Lonchura striata: one gene and its partners. The protein of the gene in region 1 interacts with the protein of each later gene in a biochemical or structural test. Links are inferred from orthologs where the notes say so. Each region holds a gene or a part of one and is shown in the gene's direction. Other genes may lie near its edges. The genes, in order: SP1, E2F1, HIF1A and POU2F1.

Region 1 (7,785 bases):
CCCACGGCCCCGCGGCCGCGCCGGGCCCCCGCAATTACCCGGTATTTATACCCGGCCGGACGCCGGGACCTCGCCAGGGCGGGGGGGACACGGAGCGGGGGGGCTCCGTCCACGGGCAGCCGGCCAGCCACCGTCCGTCTGTCCATCCCTCCCTCCATCCTCCTCTCCATCCCTCCTTCCCATCCCTCCCCCGTTTATCAGCGTGGCTCCGGAGCTGGCACGAATTTGAGGGGGCTCAGCCGCTCTGTCCCAAATCTGAGGGGATCTCAGCTCCACCATGACACGAGTTTGGGGGGTCTCAGCCCCCTGAGATGAGTCTTGGGGGGGTCTCAGCACGACAGGGGTTGCAGGGCCGGAGGTGTCCCTGTCCCCATCCCGGTCCCCGGGGCCAGGAAACGCTCCGTGCCCGGTGCGGGGGTCCCGGCAGTGCTGTCCCCCCCGATCCCCGCGGTGTCGGCGGGGGCACCGCAGCCCCTCGGGGTCGGGGGGGGGAAGCGGAACCAGCTCGGGGATCCCCGCGTCCCCCCACCCCTCACCTGGCGCGGTGTCCCCCGTGTCCCCCCGGCCCGGCCCTGCCCCGCCCGCCCTCCCCGGCCCCCGGATGTTTCCCTTGCGGTCGGAGGCCCCGAAATAGCGCAGCCCCCGCGCTGGGTGCGCCGGCCACGGCCGCCCACGGGCCCCGCGGGACCGGGGGGACCGGCGGAGGCTCCGAGGGCTCGGAACTGGGCCGAGCTCCCCCCACCCAGCACCACCCACGGGGGGCACCCGGTGTTCGGAGCCCTCCCGGGCATCCCAGAGATGCCCCTCAGCAAGGCGGGGCACAGGGAGGGTCTGCGGGGCAGGAGGAAAGCGGGGGGAAGGTGGGGGGCAGGAGGAGCCGGGGGACGTGTGGGGACACGGGGCTGGACGGGGACAGGGACCTGCAGGGACAGAGGGGCACCCGCAGTGGGGCTGGGGGGCTCCCACCCACGGGGAAGCCAGCGCAGGGTGGCCCCGGGGCTGAGCTGCGCCCGCGGCCCCGGTGTTTCCTCCCACCCTTTAATTATCCCGGAATTATCCCTGGAAATAACTGCGGGGGGCGGGGGGGGAGACACGGGCACCGAGCCGGACGGACCCCCGGTGGGGACAGACGGACCGGGGACAGACCCCGGGCAGGCCCCGGGGGACAGGGTGGCCTTGGGGGGACAGTGGTGTCCCGGAGGTACAGGGTGGTCCCGGGGGTACAGGGTGGTCCCGGGGGGACAGGGTGCTCCCGGGGGGACAGCGGTGTCCCGGGGGTACAGGGTGGTCCCGGGGGGACAGGTACAGTGGTGCCCCGGGGGTACAGGGTGGTCTCGGTGGTACAGGGTGCCCCGGGGGGACAGGGTGGTCCCGGGGGGACAGGTACAGGGTGGTCCCGGGGGGACAGGTACAGTGGTGCCCCGGGGGTACAGGGTGGTCTCGGTGGTACAGCGGTGCCCCGGTGGTACAGTGGTGCCCCGGGGGGACAGCGGTGCCCCGGTGGTACAGGGTGATCCCGGGGGGACAGGTACAGTGGTGCCCCGGTGGTACAGGGTGCCCCGGGGGGACAGGGTGGTCCTGGGGGGACAGTGGTGCCCCGGGGGGACAGGGTGGTCCCGGGGGTACAGGGTGCTCCCGGGGGGACAGCGGTGGCCCCCAGCACCGCGGGCACCCCGAGCCCGCCCCCCGGTCCGTGTGCTCCCCCCGTGTCCCCCCCGCCATGTGGCTCCCATTGCGCTGCGGTGCCGAAGCCACATCAGAGCGGTGGCAGCGGCAGCCGCGGGGGCGGCACCGGGGGCCTGGCCCCCCCTCCGGCTGCTGAAGGACCCCCGCAGGCTGCGAGAGGAGCCCCCCAAGCTGCCACCGTGCCCCCTGTCCCCTCCAAGCTGCCGAAACCCTCCCATGGAAATCTGGGGTACCCCACCTGCTCCCCAAGCTGCCAGGGACTCCCCCCACGCCTGGACACCCCCTCCCCCAATATCCCGGGACCCCTCCACGCTGCCAGGGACCCCCCTGACCCTGGGACCACCCCCAGCCTGCAGCGACCCCTCCCCAGCCCTGAGCCCCCCAGGATGCCCCGGGTGTCTCAGCCCCCGGTGCCTTGTGTCCCCCCCCGGTCCCCCCGGGGCTGTGACCCCCCGGTCCCGTGCTCCCCCCCCGGTCCCCCGCCCGTCGCTGTCCCCGGGCCGATCCGCCCTGGCTCGCGCCGCGCTGCATTTCTGCGGTTCCCAACCCAAAATTGCTGGGAGTCGCCCGGCGTCGCCCTGATTCCTCCGCGGCCGCGACCTGCCGGGGGAGGGGGGGACCCAGAGGGACAATCGGGGGGTGGCAGCGGGGGTGGGGCACCCCAGGCTAACCCCGCTGCCCCCCCCGGCCCGCCCCAGTGCTCCCAGTTTGCCCCCAGTCCAAGGCTGAGGCTCCTCTGTCCCCGTGCCCTGAGCCGCCCCGGCCAGGGGGAGGCGGGGACAGCGACACGATGGGGACAGGACAGGCCTGGGGACAGCAGCAGAGGGAGCGCAGGGACAGTGCAGGGTTGGGGACACTTCTGGGGACACGGGACAGGACAGCACCCGGATGTGAGAACCCCGGGGACAGGACAGGGCTGAGGACAGAGATGGGGACAGAACAGGGCAGGGATGGAGGCACTGTGTGGGACAGGACAGGGCAGCTTTGGGGACACCCTTGGGGGCACGACACGACGGGGGACACTGCTAGGGACGCTCCTGGTGCCAGGACAGGACCAGTGACAGTGCTGGTGCCAGGGCAGGACCAGTGGCAGTCGGTGCCCAGGTCCCACTGTGGTGGGTGACAGTCGGTGACACTGTCAGTGATAGTCGGTGACCGTTGGTGCCCGGGTCCTGTCATGGCGGGTGACAGTCGGTGACACTGTCGGTGACACGGTGACACTGTCGGTGACACTGTCGGTGACACGGTGACACTGCCGGTGACACTGTCGGTGACACTGTCGGTGACACTGCCGGTGACACGGTGACACTGCCGGTGACACTCGGTGACACTGTCGGTGACACTGCCGGTGACACGGTGACACTGCCGGTGCCCGTGGCGCCCCCGCCAGGCGGCAGCAAAGCCTCGGGCCCGGGGGCGGCACCGCCCGGCCGCGACCACCGGGGGGCGCGCGGGGACACGGGGGAGGGGTCCCGGGGCAGGGAGGGGTTAATTGGGGGTGTTAATTGGAGGAGGCCCGACGGGGCTGGGGGGCCATGGGTGTCCCCAGAGGGGGCAGTTACCGGAGGGGGTCACCGGGACAAGGACCCGGCTGGGATAACGGGGTGAGGGGGGGTCTGACGGGCCAGGACCTGCCCTCGACCCCCCAGCCCAGCGCAGCCCCCGGGCTCAGCTCCGGTGGCAGGACGGGGACAGTCCCGGTGACCACCCCAGGTGCCACCATCGCGGGTCACAAGGGGACACCGAGTGACCCCCATGGTCCGGGGGACAGGGCAGGGACAGGATGGGGACAGGGCAGGGACAGGACAGGGACAAGAGGGGGACAGGGCAGGGAAGGGACAGGATGGGGACAGGGAAGGGACAAGAGTGGGACACGGCAGGGACAGGGCAGGGACAGGGAAGGGAAGGGATAAGGCAGAGACAGGGCAGGGACAGGGAAGGGCCAGGGTCAGAGCCAGGTTGTCCCCAAGCCCCGTCGGGTGCGGGGCCGAGGCCGCGGGGCCTTCCCGGGCTGCGGGGTGGGAATTGGGCCGAAAACAGCGGGAAATGGGAGGGTCACGGGGGGCGATTTTGACGGTGGAAAGCGAAACCAAGGCCGGGCCGTGTCCCTCGCTGTCCCTGCCGCCCCCAAAGCGCCCCTTTTGCTGTGAAATGAAGGATCTGGGCCCCAAAGCCCCCAGGCCGCGCTCCCACGGCAAGGGCGGCCGGGCTGCCCGCTGTGTCGGGACAGGGCGATGTCGTGACAGGGCTCTGGGCTTCACACAGCTCCTGAGGACGTGTCGCGCCGCCATGGCGGCTGTCGCGACACGGCCGAGCCGTCTTGCGGCACGGAGCGGGGACTCGAGGAGGGAAGAGCCGCACGCAGCCCGCGGTACCGAGGCGGGGACAGCCCCGGCCGGGCCCGGGGAGCGCGGCCGGCCCTGAGGGAGCCGAGCCCAACATGGCGGCGCCGCCATCCGCCGCGCCGTCCCCCCAAGGGCGCAGCCCGGCCGCTGGCCCCGCCCCCCCGCGGCGCCCATTGGCCCGTTTGAGACCGAGCGGCGCTCTGATTGGCTGCGGGCCGCGCCGCGGCTGCCGCCTCCGCGCTCGGATTAGCGGCCGCTACCATCACTATCGGCTCCTCTCCCGCCCCGCGGCGCGGCCCGCGCAGCCGGTTGGCGCGGGGCGCTGCCGGTGACCGCCACGCCCGGCCTCCCGCGCCCCATTGGCGGCGGCGCACGTTCATCACGCCGCGGCCCGCGCCGCCGCGGCCGCGCCCATACGGGGTCTCCCTGCGAGCCCGCGCGGGCGCCGATTGGCTGAGCCGCCGCCCGCCCCCTCCCCCCCGCGCCCCCATTGGCCGCCGCCCCGCCGCGCTCCCCCTCCCCCACGGGGCGGGGTGCCGGGGGCGGGGACCGCCCGCCCTCCTCTCCCCCCGCGCCGCACCGCCCTCTCTTCCCATTGGCCGCGCTGCCCGTCGCTCCGCCGCTCGCGCGGCGCCCATTGGCTGCGGGGGCGGCGGGGGCGGGGCGCGGGGCTGCGGCCGCGGCGCGCGGCCCCTCCCTCGGCAGCCCCTCGGCGGCACCGGCGGGTTCGGCCGCTCGCCCGCCCGCGCCCCCGCCCCGCCCCGCGCGCCCGGCCCGGCCCCGGCACCATGAGCGGTAAGGACGGGGCCGGGGCCGAGCGCCGCGCGGGGCCCCGGGCACACGCACAGGCGGCGGCGCCCGCCCGCTCGGAGGGGCCAGAGGCGGCCCCGCCCCGCCGGGCCGGGCCCCGCCGGGCCGGGCCTCGCCGCGCCGCGCCGGGGGGACCTGCCGGGGGAGGGACCCGGGGGAGGGGGGAAGGCCTCGGGGGAGGGACCGGCGGCCGCGCCGGGCAGGGCTGGAGCGGAGGAGGGGGCGGCGGGGAGTGATGGGGAGGCCCCGGGGAGCGGGGCTGGGGGCGGGGGGGGGCGGCCGAGATCCCGGGGGAGGGGGCGCGGGGACGGCGGGGGAGGCCGCGGGGGTGGGCGGCTGCGGGCGCAGCGGCCCGGGGGCTTTCCCCCGGAGCCGGGCACGGCGCCCTGCGGGGGCGGATGCGGGAGCCGGGGGCGGGGGGGCCGTGCGGGAGCCGCGGGAAGGAGCGAGCGGCCGGGGGCGTTGCGCGCCCCGTCCCCGGTGCAGACCCCGGTGAGGGGTGCTGGGGTGACGGCAGCAGCGGGGCGCAGCCCCGGTGCCCGGCGGAGGATGAGGAGGCGGCTGAGCGCCGGCAGAGCGAGGACTTGGTGGGAGAGGAGCCCCCCGCGCTGGGGGCGCCGCGGGCGGGCAGCCCCGGGCCGGGGATCCCGCGGCGGGAGGTGCGTGCCCCGGCCGGGCGACGGGAGCGCCGGGGAGCTCCTCGGCGGGGGCCAGGGAGTGTCCCGGGCGGCCGGGGAGGAGCCGGGCCCTGGAGCGCGGCCGGGACCTCCCCCCCTGTCCCGCTGCCAGCTCCTCTTTGGCAGCTCCCCGCGCTCCGCAGCCCCTTCCCGGCGGCGCCGGCAGCGCGTGGTCCCCCCGCAGCCAGCCCGCCGTGTCCCCTCCGGGCCCTGCCTGGCCCTGCCGAGCCTCGTGCCGCTGCCCTGCCCCAAAATGTCCCTAACCGGGGCTGTCCCTTCCCTCCTGCGCAGACCAAGAGAGCACCGAGGAGATGTCGGCTGTGAAGCCCGACAAGGGCGAAGGCGACGCCAGCAGCACGAGCAGCGCCGGCGGTGGGGACACGCAGGTGAGTGGGGGAGGATCGGCCCCGCTGGCCCCGGGGAGCCCGTGGCAAAGTCCAGGCCCGGGCTGAGCTGTCTGCCGGGCCCGGGCAAGCGTTTCAGCCCGGGCAGGAAGAGGAGGGTGAGCGCTGCCAAGCAGCGCCGGTGCCTTCCCCTCCTCCCCGGCTCTCCTCGGAAACACGCAGTTCCCCTGCTCCCGGTGACACCACGGCCCCCGCTGGCCCGTCTCCAGCTCGGGGAGCCCGGGAATGACCCTCCTTCCTGGGGGTTCGTCGTGCCTCAGGGGGATTGCCCGGCTCGGCAGTGGAGGAGCCCTCTCCTCTCTTGGCTTTCCCGGGCAGGCTCCCTCCCAAAAGGCTTTTCCGTGTGGGTTCAGGCTGTCCCGGCCTGTCAGCCTTGTGCCTGGCAGTTGTATTTTTCCGGCTGTGGGTGGGTTTGTTCAGGAAGGAGTGTTTATCTTTTCCGAGTATGCTCCTCCCTGTTTTCTTAAGTTGGTTTTTTAATTATTTTTTTTTGTTTCCCCGTTGTTTTTTTTTTTTTTCACTCCGGGCCTGCCCCTCGGGCCGCCTCCCAGCCCCGTAACTCCTCCTCTCGTCCCCAGGAGTCACAGCCGTCCCCGCTGGCCCTGCTGGCAGCCACCTGCAGCCGCATCGAGTCTCCCAATGAGAACTCCAACAGCTCCCAGGGCCAGCAGGGTGGGAGCGGCGAGCTGGACCTGAACGCGGCCGCCGCCCAGCTCACCCAGTCGTCCAACGGCTGGCAGATCATCTCGGCAGGCTCCAGCACCCCCACGGGCTCCAAGGAGCCGGGCAGCAACGGCAGCAACGGCGGCGACGCCTCCAAGAGCCGCCCGGTCAGCACCGGGCCCTACGTGGTCACCTCGGCGTCCGGCCTGCAGAACCAGCAGGTGCTGACGGGCCTGCCGGGCGTCATCCCCAACATCCAGTACCAGGTGATCCCCCAGTTCCAGACCATCGACGGGCAGCAGCTGCAGTTTGCCACCACCCCGGCGCAGGTGAACGTGCAGCAGGATGCCTCGGGGCAGCTGCAGATCATCCCCGGCTCCAACCAGCAGATCATCACGAGCCGTGCGGGCGGCAGCAACCTCATCGCCATGCCCAACCTGCTGCAGCAGGCCGTGCCCATCCAGGGCGTGGGGCTGGCCAACAACAGCCTCTCCGGGCAGACCCAGTACGTGGCCAACGTGCCCGTGGCCCTGAACGGCAACATCACCCTGCTGCCGGTCAACAGCGTGGCCGCCAGCCTGGCCCCCACGTCCCAGACGGGCACCCTCAGCAGCTCGGGCTCGCCGGACAGCAGCTCCCAGCCGGCCACCTCGGGGGCTGCCAGCAGCTCGGGCAGCACGGCCACATCCCAGGCCAGCTCGGGCGCTTTCTTCACCAACGCCAACAGCTACTCCACCACCACCACCACCAGTAACGTGGGCGTCATGAATTTCTCCACCAGCGCCACGGTGGGCACCAACGTGCAGTCACAGACCCCCCAGAGGGCCAGCAGCGTCCCCAGCTCGGACTCTCTGCAGACCCCGGTGTCCGGGGTGGCCCTGCAGCCGGGGCAGCAGAAGGAGGGGGATCAGAGTCAGCAGTCGCAGCAGCAGCAGCAGCAGCTCCTGATCCAGCCACAGCTGGTCCAAGGAGGGCAGACGATCCAAGCCCTCCAGACCACCCCGCTGTCTGGGCAGACCTTTGCCACTCAAGCCATCTCCCAAGACACCTTGCAGAACCTGCAGCTCCAAGCCGTGCCCAACTCCGGCCCCATCATCATCCGCACGCCCACGGTGGGTCCCAACGGGCAGGTGAGCTGGCAGACCATCCAGCTGCAGAACCTGCAGGTGCAGAACCCCCAGGCGCAGACAATCACGCTGG
Region 2 (7,435 bases), on another chromosome or scaffold:
GCTTTAAAAACAGAGAGGAGGAGATGGCACTGCTGGGTCTGGCGTGCCCAGCATCCAAAAGAGGAGCTGACCTGGTGTCCTGTGACAAGGGCTGTGTCTTCTGTAAGAGATGCAAGGGAACAAGCACTGCCTGGCTTTTGGGACTGGGATCTGAGAGGAAACACCTAAACCAGGGCTGCCCCTTCTGCCACAAGCCAGCTTTAGACACTTCTAGAAGCTTCCAGAAAGTGGCTTTGGTTTGCACAGAACAACGGTGACGGCTCAGGTGGCAGAGGTGAGGGACTGTAGGGTCAGGGCAGAACTGGGGGGGCTCTGGGCTTTCCCCAGCTGTGTGTCCCCACCACAGGCAGATTGTGCCACACTGCCAACTCACCATCTTGCGAACAAACCAGGGAACTGGGACAGGGACATTGGCAGGAGACCCCAGGGAAGTCCTGCTCTGCTCACATGTGACACACTCCCGGTGGGAACTGCTGGAGGTTGGGACTGCCTCTGCGATGGCAGGGACAGTAAATGTGCTCCTGGGACACCCACAGGCTGCCCTTAACCCAGCAAGGGGTTTGCATCCTGCAGCTCTCCTCCCCCCTGCTCCCGCTGCCAGGTGATTTTCCAGCGCAGGTACCAGCTGTGCTCCAGCTGCAGACTTCTCCCAGCACACAGCCTTGCTCTGAGTCTATCCCACAGTGCCAAACCCACCCAAACTCAGCGGCTGCCACGGCACGAGGTGTCTGAGCAGCCTTCCCACTGCTGTGCAGGAGAGAGCGGGGCTGTGCAGGCAGGGATGGGCAGACAGGGATGTGCAGGCAGGGATGAGCAGGCAGGGATGTGCAGGCAGGGATGGGCAGGCAGGGATGAGCAGGCAGGGATGGGCAGGCAGGGATGTGAAGGCAGGGCTGAGCAGGCAGGGATGGGCAGGCAGGGCTGTGCAGACAGGGATGAGCAGACAGGGATGAACAGGCAGGGCTGTGCAGGCAGGGATGTGCAGACAGGGATATGAAGGCAGGGATGTACAGGCAGGGATGTGCAGGCATGGATGTGCAGGCAGGGCTGTGCACGCAAGGATGTGCAGACAGGGATGAACAGGCAGGGATGAACAGGCAGGGATATGCAGACAGGGATGTGAAGGCAGGGATGTGCAGACAGGGATGTGCAGACAGGGATGTGCAGACAGGGATATGAAGGCAGGGACATGCAGACAGGGCTGTGAAGGCAGGGATGTGAAGGCAGGGATGAGCAGACAGGGATGTGCAGACAGGGATATGAAGGCAGGGACATGCAGACAGGGATGTGCAGACAGGGATGTGAAGGCAGGGATGTGCAGACAGGGATGTGAAGGCAGGGATGAGCAGACAGGGATGTGAAGGCAGGGATATGAAGGCAGGGACATGCAGACAGGGATGTGCAGACAGGGATGTGAAGGCAGGGATGTGAAGGCAGGGATGAGCAGTCTGGACTTTATCGGGAGCAGCACCTGCCGCACGGATAATCTCGGGAGCACGTCCGCGCTCCTCAGCGGGGCTGCCGGGGGAGGCTGCAGTTGTGCAGGAGACAGAATTCATCTGCTTCCCCTCACCCACATGCCAGAAAGGCCCTGCCCGTCCTTCTCCCACCAGCGTTCGCCTTTCATTTGTCTCCACAGCCGCCCCTTTTCGCGCCGCCGGCGCTGAAAGCCTCGGAGAAGTCGAAGCGCAGCCTCCGGGAGAGGGGGCAGAGCCTGCTCCCCCCGAAGAGCTCCTGCATGAATTAGGGGGGTGAAGGCAGCCTTTGTGAGCCGAGCGGGAGCAGCTGGTGCAGCAGCTGTGTCCCAAACCCTGCCTCATCCCAGGAAGCGCCGGGCTGAGGCTCCCCAGGGATGGGGAGAGCACCGCCAGCCATGCGCTCCCGCCCGGCTGCTGGGGTTGCCTTTTTCCCCCTTCCCCAGATGGAAGAAGCATTAACTGTGTGCAAACATCTGGTCTAACTGTTGCTTATGCTTCCTAGTAATGATGATATTGCAGTGGAAGGGCTCTGGAGAGTGGGGCCCGGAATATTAGAAGGGCCAAGTGTTAATTAACTATATTAATTTCCTTTAAGCAAGGCAGCGTTTCTATTTGCTCTCTGCTGATGAAGAAATGAGGCACAGCGAGTTTATTGGATTGGTCACGGACATGCACCATGTTACTGCTGTATTTAAGGATGGAGGGACCCAGGGAAATCACAGCCCTGCTCCACACTGGCCACCCCCAGAGGAATTGCAGCCACTGCCAAAGCATCCAGCATAAAATCCTTTAAAGCCAGAAACCTGTTAGGCCAGCACAGGGGCACTGCATGTCAGGATCTGCTCCACAGCAAAGAGGTTAACTCATCCCTGCAAATGCCTCCTGCATCCCACGCACTGCTGGGAAAACAGCCCTTCTCCTGCAGTGCTGGGAAAACAGCCCTTCTGCAGTGCTGGGAAAACAGCCCTTCTCCTGCATCCCGGGCAGGTCAGGGTTGGCAGCAGGAGCCAGCACTGGCTCACAGCTCTGCCTGGCAGCAGCAGTGGGCTGGGGGTCACTGTGCTCGACCACCAACCCCCGGGGGCACGTGGGGGGCACAGAGGGGTCAAACCCTGAGCTTGGCTCAGCATGGGTTTGGGTGCTTGGATCAGACCCCTCTACAAACTTTCCTCATGAGCTTCCCCATGTCTGGGCCTTGCAAAAAGCCTAATCTTTAAATGCTTTTTAATTTTTTTTTTTTATTAGCAGGATGTACTTTTTTCCTTTTTAATTTTGCCTCCTCATGCAGCAGGAGGTTATCAGTGTCCTGCAGACAGGAGATACTGGTGCTGGGAGCTGCCTGTCCCGTGTCTCATGGGTGGACTCTCATCTTTCTCAGCATATGGGGCCACTCCCGGCTCCGTCTGCCGTCCCTGTGTCCCTGCCTCTCCCCAGCCACACGCTCCCACGGCCGGAGATAGCGCCTGGCACGGTCAAGTGCAGGTTGTGCTCCCGGCAGAGCTTTTCCTCTGCCCTCTAAGGGGTTATCAGCCATTCCTGAAGGAGCTGCCGAGATCCGCAGCTGTTTGCAAACAGAATGCCGTGAATCCCCGGGCAGACGGATGGAGCAGATTGCAGCATCCCAGCCCTCCCGTGTGCGCTGGGCCCTGGAGCAGCGTCAGAGCCCGAAGCCTCCAGATTTGTCGGACAGCCTCAGCCGTGGTCTCGGGGCTGCTTCCACAAGGGAGGTGGACAGCCCTGAACCGAGCCCTTCAACGCCCCAGCGCCCAGACAGAAATCCTGCCCACGGCCCGCAGCACAGGAGAGGAGCCACTGATGTCCCCACTGCGAGGCATTGCTGCGGGGGGCCGGGCCAGGCTGGGCTGGCTGTCACCCCCGGGCAAGGGGAACACACGGGGGGCAGCCTGCGACGCCCCGCAGAGCCCAAAGCCGCCCTCTTCCCCAGCAGTGACACCCGTGGGCGGGCGGAGTCCGCAGGGCAGGGGAGCGAGCTGAACTTTGCTCGTGGGTGCGTGCCCCGTCCTCCCGCGCCATCCGGAGCGGGGAGCGGCCGCGCCCGCAGCCGGAAGCGCAGCACCCCGGCGGGGCTGAGCCCGGGCCGGGACCGGCTCGGCCCGAGCCCTGAAATCCCCACGGCTGGGAACACCGGCAGCCGGGGCCGGCTCGGAGCGAGGAATCCGCGGCGGCACACGAGGGGGACACCCTCTTGTCAAACAGGGACACGGGAGGGGACACCTCGAGAGGGACACGGGGGACACAAAGAGGGACACGGAGGGGACACCCCGAGGGGGACACGGGGGACACAAAGAGGAACACGGGAGGGGACACCCCGAGGGGGACACCGAGACACGGAAGGGGACACCCCGAGGGGGACACGGGGGACACAAAGAGGAACACGGGAGGGGACACCCCGAGGGGGACACCGAGACACGGGAGGGGACACCCCGAGGGGGACACGGGGGACACAAAGAGGGACACGGGAGGGGACACCCCGAGGGGGACACACGCAGCGCGCGCCGCACCCGCGCTGCGCCCCCGCCGCGTCCCCGAGCCGCGCTCCCATTGGCCGCCGCCCGGGCGCGGCGCCGCTGATTGGCCGCCTGTCAGCGCGGCCCCCGCCCGCCAATGGCCGCGCGGCACCGCCCGCCGCCCCGCGCGCCGCGGCCAATGGCAGCGCGTTCTCTCCTCCCCGCCGAGGCGGGCGCAGCCAATGGGCGGGCGGCGGGGCGGCTCGCGCCGCTTTTCGCGGCAAAAAGGATTTGGCGCGCAAAGGCGCGCGGGGCCGGCGCGCCGAACAATCCGGCGGCGGCCGCACCGGAGCCGGAGCCGGAGCCGGAGCTGGAGCGCAGCGGCCCCGCGCCCGCCATGGGCCGCGCCCCTGTCCGCGCCCTGCCCGCCGCGCCGCCCGCCGCACCGGCGGCACCGGCTGCCATGTGAGCCATGGCGGCGGCGGGCGGCGCGGCGGGGCTGGCAGCGCTGCTGGGCAGCGCCTCCCCGCACCTCCTGATCGTCTCCGCCGCCGAGGAGCCCGCGGGCGGCGGCCACCCCGATACCGACCTCCTGCTCTTCGCCACGCCGCAGCCCGCCCGCCCCGGCGCCGCGCCCAGACGGCCCGCGCTGGGCCGCCCGCCGGTAACCCCCGCGAGTGGGATGGGGAGCGGGCGGGGGCCGGGCGGGGGCTCCGGGGACCGGCGAGCCCGGGCTGTGTTCCGAGCTGTGCAGTATTGGGCCTCGAACCGGCCTGTAACGACCGGGCCGTATACCCGACCGGGCTACACCGAGCCGGGCTGTACAATGGGCCCGGCTGCGTACCGGGCCGTGCTATGTAGCGAGCCGTGCCAAAGCCAGCCGGGCTGTACAGCGGACAGGGCTCCGTACCGGGCCGGACCGTATTTCACCCTGCTGTGCCCCGTGCTGTGCCATATGCCGTGCCCTGCTCCGTGTCAGCCCGTGCCCGGTGCACCCGGCTGTGCCAGGCTGTACGGCCGGGCCGTGCCACGCAGCACCTGCCGGGCCGGCCCTGCCCCGCCGCCGCTCCGGAAGCCGCAGGCCCCGGCGCCGGGCCGTGCTTGGCCTCCCCAGCCACGGCCCGGTCGGCTTTGGGGCGCTCCCCGCAGCGCGGCGGGGCCCCGCGGCTGGGCCAGCCCCCATCCCTGCCAGCGGGGTGACAGCTCTCATCAACCCCTTCCTGCCGGGATCCGGGGTGTCTGTACCCCACTGTGCTGTGGGGGGTCCTCACAGAAACCCTTCACAGCAGTGGGGCCTGGGGCGGCTGTCCCTGTGCTGACCCCGGCCCTTGCAGGTGAAGAGGAAGCTGAACTTGGAGACGGATCACCAGTACATAGCGGAGAGTTTGCCAGTGAGCCGGGGCAAGGCCAGGAACCCCGCTAAAGGTACCGGCTCCACTCCCCCCGGCCCCCTTGCCAGCCCAGCTCAGAGCAGAGGTCCAGCAGCCCCACTCTGCTCCCCCAGGCTCATCCTGGTAGCTCCTTCCAGGCCCTTTGTGTCGGTGTGGATGGGCTGTTCCCGGGGCTGGCCTGCCTCTGTCCACCCTCCACACTCACTGCTGTGCCCTGTGCTGGTGGCATGGCTGTCCTGCCCTTGTGCTGGGCACCCCTCCGGCTCTGTCCCTCCCCGTGGGATGGAGCTGTAGGTGCCAGCATGGTGTCAGTGCAGTGTCCCAGGTGGACCTGCTGTTATCTCCCCCCAAGCCCAGCCTGGCACTTGGTGTCTCAGTCACAGCTGTGGTCACAACGGAGCACAGGTGTCACAGCTTGTGCCAGGTGCTGCAACATCCTTCCTACAGGGGATTTGGGCAACTCACCCCGTTGCCCTGAGATAACAGATTGGGTTTGGGGTGCCAGTCCTGGTCACTAGTCCACAAGCCACCTGCAAGTATGGCAGGAGTTTTGTGACCTTTCAGCTTCAGCTGTGGATGAAACTTGTCCTCCACGTCTGGCAGGGGCAAAGTCTCCTGGAGAGAAGTCCCGCTATGAAACCTCCCTGAACCTCACCACCAAGCGCTTCCTGGAGCTGCTGAGCCAGTCCCCAGATGGTGTGGTGGACCTCAACTGGGCGGCCGACGTCCTGAAGGTGCAGAAGAGGCGCATCTACGACATCACCAATGTCCTGGAGGGCATACAGCTCATCACCAAGAAGTCCAAGAACCACATCCAGTGGCTGTATGTCGCTGGCTCATGGGGCTGTGCCTGGCTGTTCCTGGGGTGGGGGAGCTGTCTGGGAGGAGGAGGGTCTTACCTGGGTGGAGAATTTCAGGGCGGGGTCACCAGAGCTTCTGCTGCAGGCCAAGTGGTGGCTCCCTGTGGGGACGGCTGTGCTCAATGGCAGGAGGGTCCTGCGAGTCCCCCTGGGACTCCCCGAGTCACCCAGGGGAGGGGAGGGCTGCATCCAGCCTTGGGGGAGCAGCACTCTGCTGCAAAATCCCTGCAGGGCTGGTTCCCTGCCGGGGGGGTGGGATGTGGCCTGGCCTGGGTGGGGCCCTGGAAGCTGTGGGAGCGGCTCCTGATGGACACGGTGCTCCCCAGGGGCAGCCAGGCCACGGTGGGAGCGCCAGGCCGGCACCGGCTGCTGGAGAAGGAGCTGCGGGAGCTGCAGGCGGCCGAGCGGCAGCTGGATGACCTCATCCAGATGTGCACGGTGCAGCTGCGCCTGCTCACCGAGGACCCCGCCAACCAGCAATATCCTTTGGTTCTGGGGTGGGGCTGGCTGGGTGGGGCTGTGCTTGAGCCGCGGTGGCACAGGCAGGGAGTTTCTCAGCCCACATCCCCGTGTCCCTTCCTTGACCCACCCCACCGCAGCCTATGTCACCTGCCAGGACCTCCGCAGCATTGTGGACCCCGCGGAGCAAATGGTGATGGTTATCAAAGCCCCCCCAGAGACCCAGCTGCAGGTCTCAGACCCAGCAGAGGTGAGTTGGGGTCACGTTCTGCTCCTGCTGTGCCCTCCCTGAACAGCCCCGGCTGTTCCCTGGGTGTTCTTGTGCCACCTTGTCTCACTCCTGTCCCCTTCCCCAGGCATTCCAGGTCTCCCTGCGAAGCACTCAGGGCCCCATTGATGTGTTCCTCTGCCCCGAGGACAGCTCTGGGGTCTGCAGCCCCGTCAAGAGCCCCTTCAAAGCCCCTGCAGAGGACTCTTCTCCCAGCCATTCCCAGCCCAGAGCCTCCCTGCTCCTGCATCCTGCCCAGGATGTGAACATGCCGCTGCTGCCTGGAGAGCAAGGTGGGCCTGGGGACACGAGGGAGCTGGGGACACGAGGGAGCTGGGGACACGAGGGAGCTGGTGGGATGTCACAGTGGCTCTCATCAGCCCCTCTGCCGTTGGCACAAGCAAGGAGCTGCCATGCTGCTCAGGCACCCCAACAAGGCAGGGAGGTGGGAAGGCAGCAGCTCCATAGCCAAGAAAGCTTTTTTTGGGGTTTCTTTGGAGACTATTATGGG
Region 3 (7,299 bases), on another chromosome or scaffold:
CTCTGTCAACTCAATACTTCACAGTGGTGCTGTGAGCAAGACAGGTTTTTTGGTCAAATATGGATAGGCTAGAATATACCCTTCATTATAGCTCAATTACTGAACCAGTGAGTGTTAACTCCCTACATGTAGGTGATGCCTTAAGTTGTAATTTTCATATTTTTCAGATTCTGTACGGCATTAGTAGATAGCTCTGAACTTCATAAAAATTGTTAGCAAGTTCTCTTCGCAGTTTAATTAGAAAAAACAATCATTTTCCAGCCCAAGAACCAAGGACACCATTGCAGCTTCAGCCCCAAAAAGTATAAACAACAGGAGGATAGGACTTAATAACCTGAAGCTGTAATTGAAAGCCGTTCCCAATATGGAAATGGACCAAAACTTATAAAAGTGTGAAAATTCGTGACCCATAATCCATCTTGGGTGTAGTGTTGGCCAGGCTTTTGTGCTGCCCAAGGTGTATACTTTGAAGACTTAAAATAAATATGTACTTTCCTTTAACACTGTCTAGCTTTTGTTCTAGGTAGCCTCTCAAGGCAGCATAGGGGGCTCTACAATGAAGCAAAAGCCCAGGAAAGCCAGTGCTGAGGGCAGGTTGCTTGTGACATCCCCAGTGATGTGAGCTGCCAGCTCCAGAGAGACAAACAGAGTTTCTCTTTAACACCCTCTGCCTGCCCCAGTGAGTCCCTGCTCAGAAATGGTGAGTGGGTTTGGGAGGTAAGATGTCTTAATTAAATCCCTGATTTTTTTTCCCACCGCAGTCAGAAGTTCTGCCAGTCGTTATTGATAGGGATGCACTTGGATCCTGAGAGTAAATGCCTCCAGAGCCCATCGCGGTGACACGTGTCTCTTCAGCAAACAGATCCGAAGCCAGGGGCAGGAGCACTTCTCACATCTTCAGCCGGACTTGTTCTGCTGCCCAGTCGCTGCCGCTGTCCTCCCGAGCCGTTCGCTGACTCATCAGCTTGTGCATTTGCCCTAATTAGTCATTTGCAAGCACCATTGTGCTCAGGAAGTTCTCTAACGTAAGCGTGAGTGGGAACTTAGAGCAGCAATAAAGGTCAAGAAAAGTGACTAAGGCATCATATACTGGAATAAGTTTCTGTTATCAGCCACTGGGAAAGTGGGAAAGAAAGTGTATATGCAGACTATTAGAGGAGTGACACAAAAGTTTAATAAAGGGAAGGATGTGTGTGAGGGAGAACATTTGCTTAACATCTCTCAAGAACTGCTACAGTATGAAATGCTTAATTGCAGAACAAGTTTCCACTAACACCCTTCAGAAACACAGCTGGGTTTTGAAGCATTATTCTTTATTATGAGCTCGGGGTAAGCATGTTTGGCATGAAAGAAATGTGTCTCGTAAGGAGACCACAACACTTACTCACAACTCCCCAGACAGTTCATGCTGGGAAGTCTGATACCTTTGAACAATCATTTGAGCAGCATTAGCAAAGTGTAGACTGGAATTTTCTCCAGTGATTTTTACTCAGGGGTCACCAACACATCCCGAGCTGTTATGTCCAAGTGATTTAAAGTGAGCAGAACCTTAGGTAAGAATACTCAATGATAAACCCTTTTGATGTATTGCACATTATGTGAATTTGGATAGTAGTAATAAAAGTGCACAAGTGAACCCTAAGACATCCATGCTTATAGGCACTAAAATTGTCATTCAAAGAGTCACTAGAGTGAAAACACAATCCTATTGGGTAGGGTAAGGTGGGTTCTGTAGCTTATAACTCAGCAGTCCCTGGTCCAGACTGCATCAAGTGCCTCTTGGTCTTTGAAGGGCACTGAGATTGCAGTCAAAGTAAAGAAGAGGCTTTCACTTTCAAGTGTGCCAGGCTCACCAGGAACCACTTCAACCTCAATCTGAGCGATTAGAGAAGCTGCAACGGCTGCTCTGAGTTGCACCAGCCTCCTCTAAGGCACGGGAAGTTCCTCTGTTATCACCCCTTCACTACCAAAAATCCCCGGATGCCTTCCAGGGGCTCTGGTGGGGAAGGTGGCATTGAGCTGGCCTTGTCATTTCTGCACCCACCAGGAGATCCCTCCCCATTTAGCCAGAAAATCCTCTAGGGGCTGTTATGGTGACTCTGTGAACAGACTAAAAAAACCTACACAAGCTGCAGTGCACAACTGAATTTCTTACTATGTCTGAGCTGCCTAAACTTCATTTTGAAAGATAAAGTTGTCTGTGAGCCCTTGGGGAGGGCTTCTTGGTACTTATGCAAGACACTTGAGGTTGAGTCTTGCTTAGATTGTTTTTCTTCTCAAGGCTTCAGTAAGCACAGAACAACAGAAATATCAGTAGTTCACAGCCACACTGCCATGGGCTATTGTGTTGTCACAGCTCATAAGCAAAGCAGAGCTGGGCTTTGTCCATGTTTGGATGCAAAAACCTTGAGGGAATAAAAGTAGTCAGAAGCACCTGTGCCTCTTCCACATATCTGACTGCTGTGGGCAGAAGCAATCATTTTCATACAGGAACTCCTTGTGATTGCTAACAAATGTCACAGTCACTTCTTTTTCTTCTTCTAAATAAAAAAATAATAATAATAACCCCCCCAATACAGAACACCCATGACTGTATGCCTAAACCAACCTGGAAGTTGGGAATCCACAGCAGAAGTGTTAGGAAGGTGCAGTACTGAAACACCATCACTTTGCCCTGCAGGTGTTTCTTATGTGCACACAGCAGCTAAAGAATGCCACTCATGCCTGTCAAAGCTGCTTTTTTTTTAAAGGTATCATTACTGCTGAGCTGCAAACCGAGTAGTCTCATAAGGTTCAGCTCCAGATGGTCACTTGAAGTCCTTGCTAGTAGGAACCCACAAGATGTAAAGGAACGCCTGAGCTCTGTGGGGTCACTCCACCTGGAACTGTGCCTTCCCTGCCTCCCCAGAGTGCTTACCCACACATGACCCTGAGCTAAGGGTACAGAGCTAAGGCTCTTAACTTTAAATGTGTGGGCTCTGCCCCAGTTTTCCTCTCCTTGCTCTCCCATGGCTGTATCCTGGCTCCTGATCCAAGAGGCCACTTGCCTGTGTGGCCATGTCAGTGCCAGGTGTCCAGCCCCTCCTGCTGTGCCTCCAGGGCCAGCTAAGGTCAGCAGGAGATCCTGTGGCTCTCAGGTGAGCAGTGCCTGAGGCCAGGCTTGCCATGGGGGGCACAGGGAGAGGAAAATTGGGCACAGGCACTGGGAAAATGGCATTGGATCTAGGCCAGCCTGGGTGGGTGGCAGGGAAGGCAGAGGGGTCACAGTGCCTCAGCACAGCCTCCTGGCTCTGCTGTTGGGTTTGCTTTGGGTTTGGGAAGTTGTAAAACTTGCTCGAAATGTGCTTAATTACCTGTCGGTTCCCCTTCTGGGCTGCCCGGCTGTTGAGCTGACTGTTCCCTTTAATTAATGTGAAGTTCTGAACCCTTTAACTGGAAATGGACTAGAAAATGTCCTGTGAGGAGTGGCTGCGGGACCTGGGTTTGCTTTGTCCAGAGAAGAGGAGGTGCAGGGGGTGCTCCATCACTGTGTAGAACTCACGGAGAGGAGGTGTAGGGAGGTCTCTGCTGCCGTGGCTGCAGTGAGAGGACAGGAGGACATGCTCTTAATGCACGATAGGGAAGATTCAGGTTAGGTAGAAAATAAAAATGTCTCTGTTAGGATGGTCAGGCATGGGAATAGGCTCTTCGGGTATGGTGGAGTCACCATCCCTGGAGGTGTTTAAGAGGCGCTGGGGATGCGATTTAGGGGCTGCAGGAGCAGTGCCAGGTGTATGATTGGACTGGATGATCTTAAAGGTCTCTTCCAACCTCGATGTTGTAGAAACATCCCGGGCTTTTACTGTACTACACCTCTGGGAGAGGCAGCGGAGTCTAGCACTGACCAAAGATGAAAGGAGGCGATAAAGAAGGGACCATCTCCTCGCGCTGTGCCCACGGGGGTGCGATTTGCGGCGGGACCCGCACGGGCCCCGCCGGCGGGCGCGGTGGGGCCGAGGGGCGCTGTGGGGCCGCTGTGGGGCCGGCCGGGAGCGATCGGGCCGCGGTGGGGCCGCGGTGGGGCCGGCCAGGAGCGATCGGGCCGCTGTGGGGCCGCGGTGGGGCTGCGGTGGGGCCGGCCAGGAGCGATCGGGCCGCGGTGGGGCCGCGGTGGGGCCGGCCGGGCCCGGGCCCGCCCCGCACGCAGCGCCGCACGTGAGGCGCGGCCCCCGCCCAGCTGAGCGCTCAGCTGACCCCGCGCAGGGGCCGGGCCGCGCCGCCGCTCCTCACTGGCGCAGCGCGGGCCCCGCGCCGCGCCCGCACCTCCCCGCAGCCCGTGCCCCGATGCTCTGAGCCCGCGCGGCCCCACACCCGGCTCGGCGCCGCCATCTCCCCGCCACCGCCATCGGAGCCTCGCGTCCCAGGGAGCCGGCGGGAGGAGAAGCCGTCCCGCCGCCATGGACAGCCCCGGCGGCGTCACCGACAAGAAGAGGTAGCGATGCCGCGCCGCCCCCCGCCGCTCTCTGCTGCCGGGCCCCGCCGCCCCCTGCTTTGTTACCGCCGCCCCCTCCTCGTCCTCTTCCCCGCCGCCCTCGCCCGGCCCGCGGAGCGCTCCGCTCTTCCATTCCTCCTTCTCCTTCTCGTCCACGTCGCCATTTTGTCGGCGGGGGGAGCGGGCCGGGGCTCGGGGCCGGGGGGAAGCGCCCGGGCTCGGCCGCGCTGCCCGGCAGCGACCCGGGGCCGCTCCGCTCCCGGAGACGGGCGGGCAGGGATCGATCGTGCCCCGTGCCCGGCGCGCTCCCAGCCCGCCGTGCCCCGGCTTTGTGCGCAAAAGGGCCGGCTCGCATTCTGGAGATACTCGGCTTTTAAAAAATCCCCAAAAGTCGCGCTGGGGAGGTGTAAGGGGGGAGGGGGGGGCGGATGGACAATGTGAGTTGAGGAGTATGAATAATTCACCGAGGATTGTAAGCGCAAATTAGAGGAAAGGGTGGGGGGGAATAAAACCCTTAAAAGCCTTTGTTAGGCGGTGAAGTTTAAGGAGCCGGGGGGCTCGGGTGAGCAGGTCCCGGCGGTGGGGCTTTGTGGAGGGATTAATTGCCGCGTTCGCCATCTGCAGAAGGTTTGTTTATATGGATATCGATACCTTTTCTCGCCTTTTAATTATTCGAGATGCGTTTTGCCTGCCCTTGTATCCAAGGGTCATCTGAGCAGATTAAGCGCAGTAAGTGTTCCAGCGTGTAAGTTGTGTCGGGAAGGAGCCTGGCCGCTTGTAAAATGGATGGTGAGCTTTGTGCCGGGCTGGGAGGAGGCGCCGGCGGCCTCGGAGCGCCTTTGGAGCCGGTGCCGGGGAGGGATGGGAGAAGCGCCTCTCGGTCCGGTGAAATCCCAGCACGGGGGCACCCGGGGTGGCATTCCACCTCTGGTTTCTCTACTCCGGGAGGATGGCTCCTGAGGAGCCTGTGAGAAAATGTTGCAACCAAAATGATTAATCTGCTCTTTGCTCTGATGCCCTAATTTAGTGGCAGGTCTAGGAAAGGGGTTTGAGAGTTGTTTTCTGAGACTTTTATTTTGGTTTATTGGGCTTTTTTGTTTATCTTTTTTATCTTACTTTTGCCTTTGAGCATTTGTTATTTTTAACTTACCGTTCTGCCCCACTGGAAAACTTTTTCTTTTTCTTTTTTTATTTTTTTTGAATTGCCTTATCCTGGATGTAATCTGCTTTCTTCAGAATGCAAGAATGAGTATGCAAAGCTCATCCTTCCTTCCTAAAGGCAGGGCTTAAGAAAGAGAATTTGTTGTTTTCTGTTTCATGCAGACAAAGTTCAAAGTCAGGAATGTTTCTTATAAAGGAATATTCAGATTACTCCTGTTGCAGGGTTTTAATGGAAAACATAGAGCTGTGTCTGTGGTACATTCATCCTGGGGGCTGTGGATGTACAGTTGAGCGAAGATGGCTAAGCAAAAAAAGGAAGGATATGAGCTCAGCAGAGAACTTCATGAAAATAGAAATGCTTGCATTTCTCAAAAACCTGGGTTGTTTTTGAAGGGTTTAGGTTTGATAGTGTCCATATTCAGAATACCTTGAAGGGAGAAGTCCTTTACGTCCTTTTCTTTATCACCTTTGATGATAAAACTTTGGCTAATTGTATATACAGTACACCTCAATTTTGGCATGGGTTAAGATTCTTTTATTCCTTGCCTCTCCCTCTGCTTGTATGTGGATAGTGTTTATCTCTTGATAGTTAATGTAAAGCTTCTTATTCACTTAATTATATGCTGTGAGATTCAGAAAATATGGAATTTGCCCAAGTTTATGTCTCAGTCTTTAAAGTGAAGTTTGGTCATAGCAGTATCTGAAGGTGTGGATTTTTATACTGGCCTGTTGAGTCAATTTTTTGATGTGGTTCCAAGCTTCTTGTATATGTACAGGGGTCAAGATTCCCTAAGAAATCAAGTATCACGCCATGATTAGATACTGAATTATTTGGGTTTTAGCCATTCTTCAGTAGTTGTATCACTTTGATGTGCTCCTGGGTTTTCCCCCAGGTGCTCAAGGACTGCGTTTCTATGCATGGAGTGGGTGAAACAGAGTTGTTGGGAGCTTTGTTTGCTCATCCACTCTCATTTGAACCAAATTTAAGGCTTTTGGTGAGAAGTATGGGATTTTTCTCAATATTCTTTTAACAAACTCCAGTGTGCAGATGGCTGATGTAGTGAAAAGCTTTTCCTCGGGTCTGTGCTGTGACACTTCACTATTAGCAGAGGAATTCTAGTGTCTTTTTAAGTAAACAGTCATTTAGGGTTATGGATTAGTCCTTACTTTTGTAGTGGCTTGCAGCTCGTAGGTAACGCGGAGTCATTTTGTTAGTGTGCTGTAAGTCTTTAGAACATAAAATACATATTTTAAATGCTATAGGTACTAAATAAATATGGTAAGTGATTTTTGGAGCATTCATTCTGGGTCTTAAGATGGTATAAGCCAATGAAATTTAATATTCTGACATGGGTGCCTTGCAGAAGAACGTCAGCTTTTCAGTTCCTCAGAGTTGGGCCTTGAAACTTATTTTTTAGTGTCTAAAGGGGATGATTTGGAAGATCAGGGATTTTCTGCTGGATTTTTGCCACCGAAGTCCAGCTCCAGAATCTGTTTGAGAAGCCTGTACCCTGTGCTGATGGCTCTGAAGTGCAATGGCTACCCCTGTTTTTTCTTAAACGTGTATGAGGTCTTTAGGATTGTGTGTACCAGTGCTTTTGTCTGTTAATTTCTCTCAGCGCTGGGGGAACTGAGCCACCATTGCTAGAGTCGAAAGTGAATACAAA
Region 4 (7,549 bases), on another chromosome or scaffold:
TAAGTAAATGTTATGACAATAATATTTACTTAGACAACAAGAATTGACTGCACTGGATTTGTAGCCTTTGTTATTGAAAAGAAAACTTTGAACAGGATGGAAGAAAAACTTATGTAAATATCATATGGGTGCTTTCTTATGTGCTATGGGTTGAAGGCATTAAGGGGAGGGCAAAGTGTTCAGATGATACACCTGAGTGGCACAATTAGCTGTGAGTTTCAAATAAGTCTATTTGCTTGTGGAAGTTATAATTCTGTATTTTTTGAATAAGGGTATTTATTTTATTTTCTCTCATCATATCACTGCCCCCCTTTTTCTTTCCCTCCTTGTGTGATGGTATTGTAAATTTGTTATGAACACAGTTTTATTTCTCTGAAAAAAAGACTTAATCCATGGTAGTTTCTACCTTCTGTGGACAAGAATAAGTTGCATTAAAAACCAAACCCATAAACAAACCCTTTTATATTAATGTATCAGGTGCTAACAAGTATCCGCTGTCCTGCACTGATAAGATACATTAGCATTCCTGCTTAGCTCTCCACATGCTTAATTTCCTTCCAAAATGTACACAAAGGAATTTTGAAAGGCATTTTGTGTCATTGAAAGTTTTAAAGGATAGTTATGATTTGAGTTTGTGAGAAGTAAAATTAGATGTAGATTAAAATTCCAATTCATAGCAATTGCCTAATGACCAGTAAGTCTAAACCAGGCCAATTTTATTTGACTTTTCCAGACAACTGCTCTTTTTGGCTTTCAGAGCTAACTCACCAATTTTCAGATAAAATCAATTCTGTTAGCCACAGTCAAAGGTGGTGGCTAAAATTAGTTAGCTTGCAGCCCTAGCTATGAACAGACTGCTGTCTGTCCATAATTACTCTAAGAGGATTGTGCCAACTTTAATAACAGTTTATTTTGTTGAAGTGTGTGATTTTTACAATTTTTTAAATAACACATTGGAGTTCTGTTTTTTGAAATTTTTGTTAGGTTTTGTTTGGGTGGTTGGAGACTTGGAAATATGTAGTACCTTCAAGGTAGAATGTCCTAGGCATTGATACACTAATGAAGGCAGCATGCTAATGTTTCAGCTAATGCTGTATTTCCTTTCCCTGTATTTTGTATTCCATTTGTATGTATTCCTTTGCACTCTACTCCAAGTACACTGTTTAAAAGGGAAATAATGAGTTGGCTTATTGGGTAATCACCAAGTGTGGCCCTGAAGTTTGCAAAGGTCATGCTTGTCACTGAGCTGGATAGGGCAGAAATTTCTTAGCTGTCATGGAGGCCATGTAGTAAATGACATTTTAGTAATATATGGAAACACATCCATATAAAAAAAACCAAGAGTTGCATAGTCTACAGGTAAAAATGATGTTCCCTTTCCAAAAACAGTGGTATTAAGGAACCAGGTACTGTCATTATAACTGAATAAAGAAAGTGATATATTCATGGGGCAGACTGCAAAAGAAGACATTCATTTGAAGTGGTATGGTGTGGAAAATACATAGAAAGTGACAAAAAGAAGTGAATGGGGTAGAAAGAGTCTCCTGAAATGTTATCTGCAGGTTCCAAAGTGTCTGGCGAAAGAAAATCTGCTTTTGTCATACCTGGCTCCATGATAGTTCCTTTGATTTTAAGGAAGAGTTTGAATAAGAATGGGGGGGGGGGGCAGAGGGGGGAGGAAATAATTATGTAAAAACTGCAGAATTGGCTGAAGAGGAGAAACGAGAGACACATTTTTTGAGATATCTGTAGTTTTATGGGATATTTCAAGCTTTTTACTTATCACAAGGTGCAGCATTTTCTCTTCTGAGAGGTGTCTTTGGAGGAAAAATGAAACTGTGAACAAAGCCCAGAGTGCTGTTTTGCTTAAACATGAGTACTAGAAGTATGTCCTTGGATCAGGGTGTTAAGTAACTTTTAATGACTAGCCATAAAGAAAAGAATGTGCAGTGTTGTGGCAGAACCTAAAGAGAACATTAAACGAATGTGTATTCCACCACTGGTTTTGGAGCAGAGTGATAGTCACCATTCTTCTCCAGACATTTTCCATTTTCCTATTTTACTGCAGCAGAGATTAAAAGATTGACAATGGTAAATTTAAACAAACAAACAAACAACAACAAAAAAAAACAACAGAGCCAAACAAAAAGTGGCTGCCCCATCCCTAGAAGTGTTCATAGCCAGGCTGGATGGGGCTTTGAGCAACCTGGTCTAGTGAAAGTTGTCCCTGACCAGAGTAGGGAGCTGGACCTGTGTGATCATTAAAGTCCCTTCCAACTCAAACCATTCTATGATTCTATGAGCTTAGATAAAAGATAAGATAATAAAATTGCCAAAGAATGAAGAACTCACTGAAAGAACAATTTGGTTTGGATTTTTTGTGGTGTTTGGTTTTGGTTGGTTTGGGGAGCGTTTTTCTTTGGTTGGGTTTTTGTTGGCCAGTTGTTAATTTGACAGGTCAACACATAATTTTTTAGTTCAATTAGGCTGTTAGTGGATGTTGCAGCTCCAGTGGGGGTTTGTGTGGGGGTTGGTGTTTGTGAGGCAGATCAGCCATGGCCACGCAGTGCGCGATGCTAACGGTCAGGTCACTTCCTGCCCCCTGGGGCTGCACCTGTGTTCCACCAGCCCAGCGCCCTCGGTCTGAGGAGAGCACTGCTGTCCTGCTCTGCTGCTGCCTCAGCTCAGCCCCTTGCTTTCTCAAGTGCTTGGTTTGTTCCACCAGTGCTGTCCAGGCTCTTCCGATAAAGCAAACGGATTATCTCCCAGTGCATTCCAAAAGTATGTATGCAGGAGTGAAGTTTACTGAAGGTCTGCGAACCATGAATGTGTGCCTCAGAGGTCTCAGTGGGACATATGAGTGAGTGGAAAACCAGGTTGGAAACAAGGTATTAGGAAAACCTATTCAGCACGTGCAGTTGTCTCCTTGTAGTAGGGAGCACCTTCTCCCTCTCTTGCAATCTTTTTCAAGTGTAGATCACTTATGTTAAATATATAGCTGGGAACATCTTGTGTTAAGTAGAGATATGAACCTGAACAGAAGAAGAGGTCAAGCGTGGAAATAAATTCCAGTCAGTACTGGATGATTGAGAAGTCCCTTTTCTCTCACTCCCTCTTGTTTGTAGAGGTGGTGCTTGAATTCACTTGAGAAATGAGGAGAAGAAAAGTACAGCTATGGTATTTTTAAAGGAAAAACAACTTACTCTTTAAATTCACATTAGCACCTGGAAGTGGGTGGCTCAACCCTGTAATCATCTGCATCATCACACTACTTTTTCCTGACCAGATTATGGAGTAATAAATTTTGTGATTGTCGCATCATGCTTGAATTTTTATACAAATGTTCTTGCTGTTTAGGACACAAGTTTTTGAGTGGCCAACAAACTATCTGAAATGGTTTAATAGAACATCATAGTTAGCCCACTTACTTCTCTGGACCACTTTTGGAAAAGAAGATTGATTTCTCCATAGACCAAAGCCTCTTCTCAGTTCTCCAGTGCTCCAGTGTACTTTTGTGGTCACAGCAGCAGGCACGTTCTGGTTATCACCAAGTGGTTCAAAGATGCAGCGTGGGTGTGACGTGCCCCTTTGAAAAACCATAGCTCTGCAAATAAGCTTTCTTTAGCCATATTGTGTGCATGCTTGAAGGGATTAGTAATAGATTTTTGGTTTTTTTCTTGGAAGTCACTGGAAAGCAAAAGACTAAATCTATTTTGATTTCACTCGGGATAGATTAATGGGTGTCAAATGTTACACAATACTTGACATATCCACTGCTGCTAAGTTGGCCGTGGCAAAGGGATTACCCGATAATGAATCACCAAGCTCTTTAGCCGTTTAAAGGGAATCGTGCCACTTCCTTGCCCTGGCAGGACTCTCTTCCCTGCCTGGGACCTTGCTGAGACAGTGCGTGTTCGCATGTGGAAAACTCCACGCAGATGCGCAAGCACCGGCTTGACAGCTTTGTGTTCAGCTTCTACCTTGCTAATTGTTTTCGTGGGATTATTTGGATTGTGTGGAAAGCTTTTTCCAAATCCCCTTTATTACTGATGTTATTGTTGCCAGCAGGAATAAGATTAAAGGTGCTTAAGTCTGTAGAGTTGTTTCTAATTTGTACGTGTCATTTCAGTGGCATTTGAACAGAACTCTGTCTCTTCCCCTCCCTGATCCCCTGTGGTACTGTGCTTGAGTTAGGGCTGAGAAGCCAAGCTATTGGAAGAAAATTCATTTTGTTCCCTAATTATTATGCTGGCACTCGGGAGATAATTTTTCCCTTCATGCACTGCCAATTAATATGCAAATGAGCTGATAAATATTTATACCGTGATTTAAATTATGCAGGGAGCGCTTTCAGTGTACTCTGCAAATGAATTGTTCATGGACTTCAAAGTGCTGGCTGCTGTGCTAACGAGAGGAGATTTGCATAAGGCCCTAATCAGGCGCATACTGATTAAGCTTCATTATGGAAACTGCCAGCTGCAATCTTTGTTTCTATTTTATTACAAAAAGGGGAACTTTTCACGCTTCAGTCGCCTTGACAATGTCAGACACAGCTAGTAGGAGAGACTAAAACTCCACACAGCAACTGAAGTTTCCCTGTTCGGTTGAAGATTGCTATGGTGTAACTGAAGTTGTATTTCTCCCCCCACCTCCCCACTCCCTTTCATGTTCAGTCAGAGCAGTAGTGTAGATTTGATAGAAATTGCCATTCTCCCGTTCCTTGGACTATCTGAACCTGTAGAGGATACCACAGCAATGCTGGACTGCAGCGACTACGTTCTAGGTGGGTACCAGCTCAGCTCTTTCTTATGGTCACCGAGGCTGGGAGATTGACTATGCATAGTGGCTTAATCACATATGCAGAAGGTATTTGTGGGGCTGAAGCTCACCAGTGAATCGGCAGCAAATAGCTGCCTGCTAGGTGGATAGCTCGATCTGTACCAGGGAAATACATGCTTTGGTTTGTTTGTTTGTTTTCCCTCTTTTCCCTTGCTCCAGGAGAATTCGTTTCCTCTACACAGGCTTGGGTGATATTAATTCAGACCTTTTGCTTTTAGGATTTCAGTCTGAGAAGCATTTGCCTTCTAACAAACACTGGGCTTGACTTGCATATCTGTGTGTTATGCATTTTAAGGCATTAAAATGAATGAGAGGGAGCATAAGTGTTGAAAGAATTTAGTAACTGTATTGAACCATTCCACAACAGAATGTATGTTATGTGTGTGTATTTTTAATATAGCAAGGTTCTTCGTGTGTAATAGAAAATAAGGGGGAGTGCACAGTGGTTGCCATTGATACGGTTGCAAGCTGTGCTTAAGGTTACTGGGATAATATATTTCCTGCGCTGAGATTCCATCAGGACTGCGGAACAGACATGCCATAATTCCTTCTTTTTGTCTTTTAAAGTTATTTATAGTAATGGATCATCTCAATTTTACAATAGGTTTTATTTCTTTTCAAGGCTTTTCCCCCCAAAAGCTCAATGTATATATATATATTTTTTTTATTAGTATTATTTTCATTCCAATCATATAAGTTCATATAAGAACATATATCTCTAAGTAAAAGGATATTTTTTTTAATGCTAAATTTTAAAGCAGACGTTTGAGTATGTTTGTTTCTGAATATGATGTGGTTTTTGAAAATTAATTTCTAAATAATTCTTGTCATGTTTTCACTCACATTAAACTTTGTTTCTCCCGTGCATATAAATGAATAATTTTTGCTGGTGCACATGGAATATTAGGCAGTTCCGCTTTTACTTTGGGTGAAAGAAAACAGTTAATGTTATATAACATGTTAAGATTTTTCTTTGCTTTGCCAGCTGTGTGCAGTCATTATAACACTTCAGGCTGGTCCGGTGTCCACTGCTGAATGCCTTTGGAAATATTCCTGAGGGTGTGTGAAAGGCTGGCACAGCACTGCCTGGCGACACCTCAGCCCTGCTAGCAGAGTAGCAGCATGGAATGTATTCACTCCTGAGAGTTTGATTTCAATCATGCACCTGCTGCTTTCGATCCTTCCTTCTGGGGAGTTTGTTTTTAGATAATGTTGGCAGAAGTTGTAGCCCAGGGCCTTTATTTAAAACCCAAGGAAGATCTAAAGGAAGAAAAAAAGGTGAAGGCATTAAGGCTTGGGGTTTTTTAAGCCCACTTCATTTGTTTATTCTTTTAAGTTTGAAGCAGAAATTGCATGAGCACATACAAACCAAGCAGCCTTTTTATTCGACATAGAATGAATCAGTAGGTTGAGTATCCCGCGGATATGAGCCTGTTTTGCTGGTAGCAGTTTTGTGCTTCAGATGGATGTCATACCATTTGCAATGGAAATAGCTGTATTGTTCTTGATGCTTTACATGCAGAAGGCTCACAGATTGAACAAGAAATAGTCAGCTGGTGAAATAATGGATGCTATCCTTCGCTTGAACCTGAGCACTACCAGAAAGATGTTTCTTCTTCTAACTTGCTGCTTTTTTCAATAGCAATGTTTGAGGTCTTTGTTAAGGATGGACCTTTACAATAAAATATTCTTCATTTAGACAGGCTTTTGGTAGTTAAGTAAACTTTGTGTATGTCTAGTACTAAAAAACCTATTCTGGAAGGATATTTTGCAGCATAGCCTGACAGAAAAACGTGTCCTGGCTTGCTTTTTGGAAAGAGGTCTGTACAGTTATAACTTCGTGTGACTGAGCAAACTTGCTCATCATGTAGGAAGGCTTCTTGTGTGAGCTTCCTCATAGGACAGAACAGTGACTGCCCTGCTTGAGTTCTGGGCACAGGACAGCTGTGTCCCCCCTCTGGGTTTAGTTTGCTTTGCTTATTCTATCATTAGTAGCCTGCACCTTGGCTCTAATACTTCAATTCCTGCAACAGACGTGGTTCAGCAAATGGATTCCATCTTTCTGAGAGACAACTTTCTCAACCTGTGCTCTTCCCTTTTGTGGTCAGTTGTATCTTGAGTTCAAGCTATTCTTCTGCTCTGGGCTTAAAATTACATCCTGTGTCCAGTAGCCTTATGAGTTAGCCTGGTTTCCACAACAAAATGTATTTGACTTGTAAGAACTCTTTGCTCATTTTCCTGTTGGATGAGGGAGGACTCTTCATATTTGTGTCCAAAGCAAAGGACTCCCATTCGGTCTTCCCTAAAGTGAAATTTCAGTAGTCATCTGTGTGTAAAGGAATGAATGAATACTGCTTATCAAAAGCATGTTGCCTATAATCACTGTAAGCATCAAACCACATTTTGTTGCCTCAAATCATTCTAGGTGTGCTGTTGCCACAACAATAAACTCAATTTGAGATATATGCAATGTCTAGATAGAAATATGGATCTCTCAGCAGAGAGGGCTAAATCAAGAGCAGACATTTCTGTATAGTCAGTAGAACCCATGTTCTGTTTCTAGAGTGTGAAACATGCCATCCATATGTGGAAAATGACAAAATAAGGAGCTTGGAAGCTATAGGTTCTGTACTTGTAACCTTAGCAGAATTCTTGTTTTTCAAGACTGAATTTGTAGCTTGAATGTGCTAAGCAGAGGTTGTGAAAAACG

What was found.
Region 2: the proteins of SP1 (region 1) and E2F1 form a complex in vitro, tested with the Homo sapiens proteins (4 studies listed by BioGRID and IntAct). The link is inferred for Lonchura striata from reciprocal best matches to the Homo sapiens genes SP1 and E2F1.
Region 3: the proteins of SP1 (region 1) and HIF1A form a complex in vitro, tested with the Homo sapiens proteins (2 studies listed by BioGRID). The link is inferred for Lonchura striata from reciprocal best matches to the Homo sapiens genes SP1 and HIF1A.
Region 4: the proteins of SP1 (region 1) and POU2F1 form a complex in vitro, tested with the Homo sapiens proteins (3 studies listed by BioGRID and IntAct). The link is inferred for Lonchura striata from reciprocal best matches to the Homo sapiens genes SP1 and POU2F1.

What each region holds. Positions count from the first base shown.
Region 1 is NC_134629.1:8,069,613-8,077,397, forward strand, and holds the start of SP1 (transcription factor Sp1), read left to right. Parts: upstream 1-4,781; 5' UTR 4,782-4,819; coding exon 4,820-4,826; intron 4,827-5,261; exon of another isoform or gene 5,262-5,500; intron 5,501-5,809; coding exon 5,810-5,904; intron 5,905-6,473; coding exon 6,474-7,785. UniProt on the Homo sapiens protein: Transcription factor that can activate or repress transcription in response to physiological and pathological stimuli.
Region 2 is NC_134619.1:12,541,463-12,548,897, reverse strand, and holds the start of E2F1 (transcription factor E2F1), read left to right. Parts: upstream 1-4,418; coding exon 4,419-4,610; intron 4,611-5,280; coding exon 5,281-5,371; intron 5,372-5,940; coding exon 5,941-6,160; intron 6,161-6,523; coding exon 6,524-6,676; intron 6,677-6,791; coding exon 6,792-6,906; intron 6,907-7,012; coding exon 7,013-7,217; intron 7,218-7,435. UniProt on the Homo sapiens protein: Transcription activator that binds DNA cooperatively with DP proteins through the E2 recognition site, 5'-TTTC[CG]CGC-3' found in the promoter region of a number of genes whose products are involved in cell cycle regulation or in DNA replication.
Region 3 is NC_134608.1:6,158,460-6,165,758, forward strand, and holds the start of HIF1A (hypoxia-inducible factor 1-alpha), read left to right. Parts: upstream 1-4,282; 5' UTR 4,283-4,436; coding exon 4,437-4,471; intron 4,472-7,299.
Region 4 is NC_134604.1:14,930,919-14,938,467, forward strand, and holds the start of POU2F1 (POU domain, class 2, transcription factor 1), read left to right. Parts: upstream 1-4,544; 5' UTR 4,545-4,665; coding exon 4,666-4,783; intron 4,784-7,549. UniProt on the Homo sapiens protein: Transcription factor that binds to the octamer motif (5'-ATTTGCAT-3') and activates the promoters of the genes for some small nuclear RNAs (snRNA) and of genes such as those for histone H2B and immunoglobulins.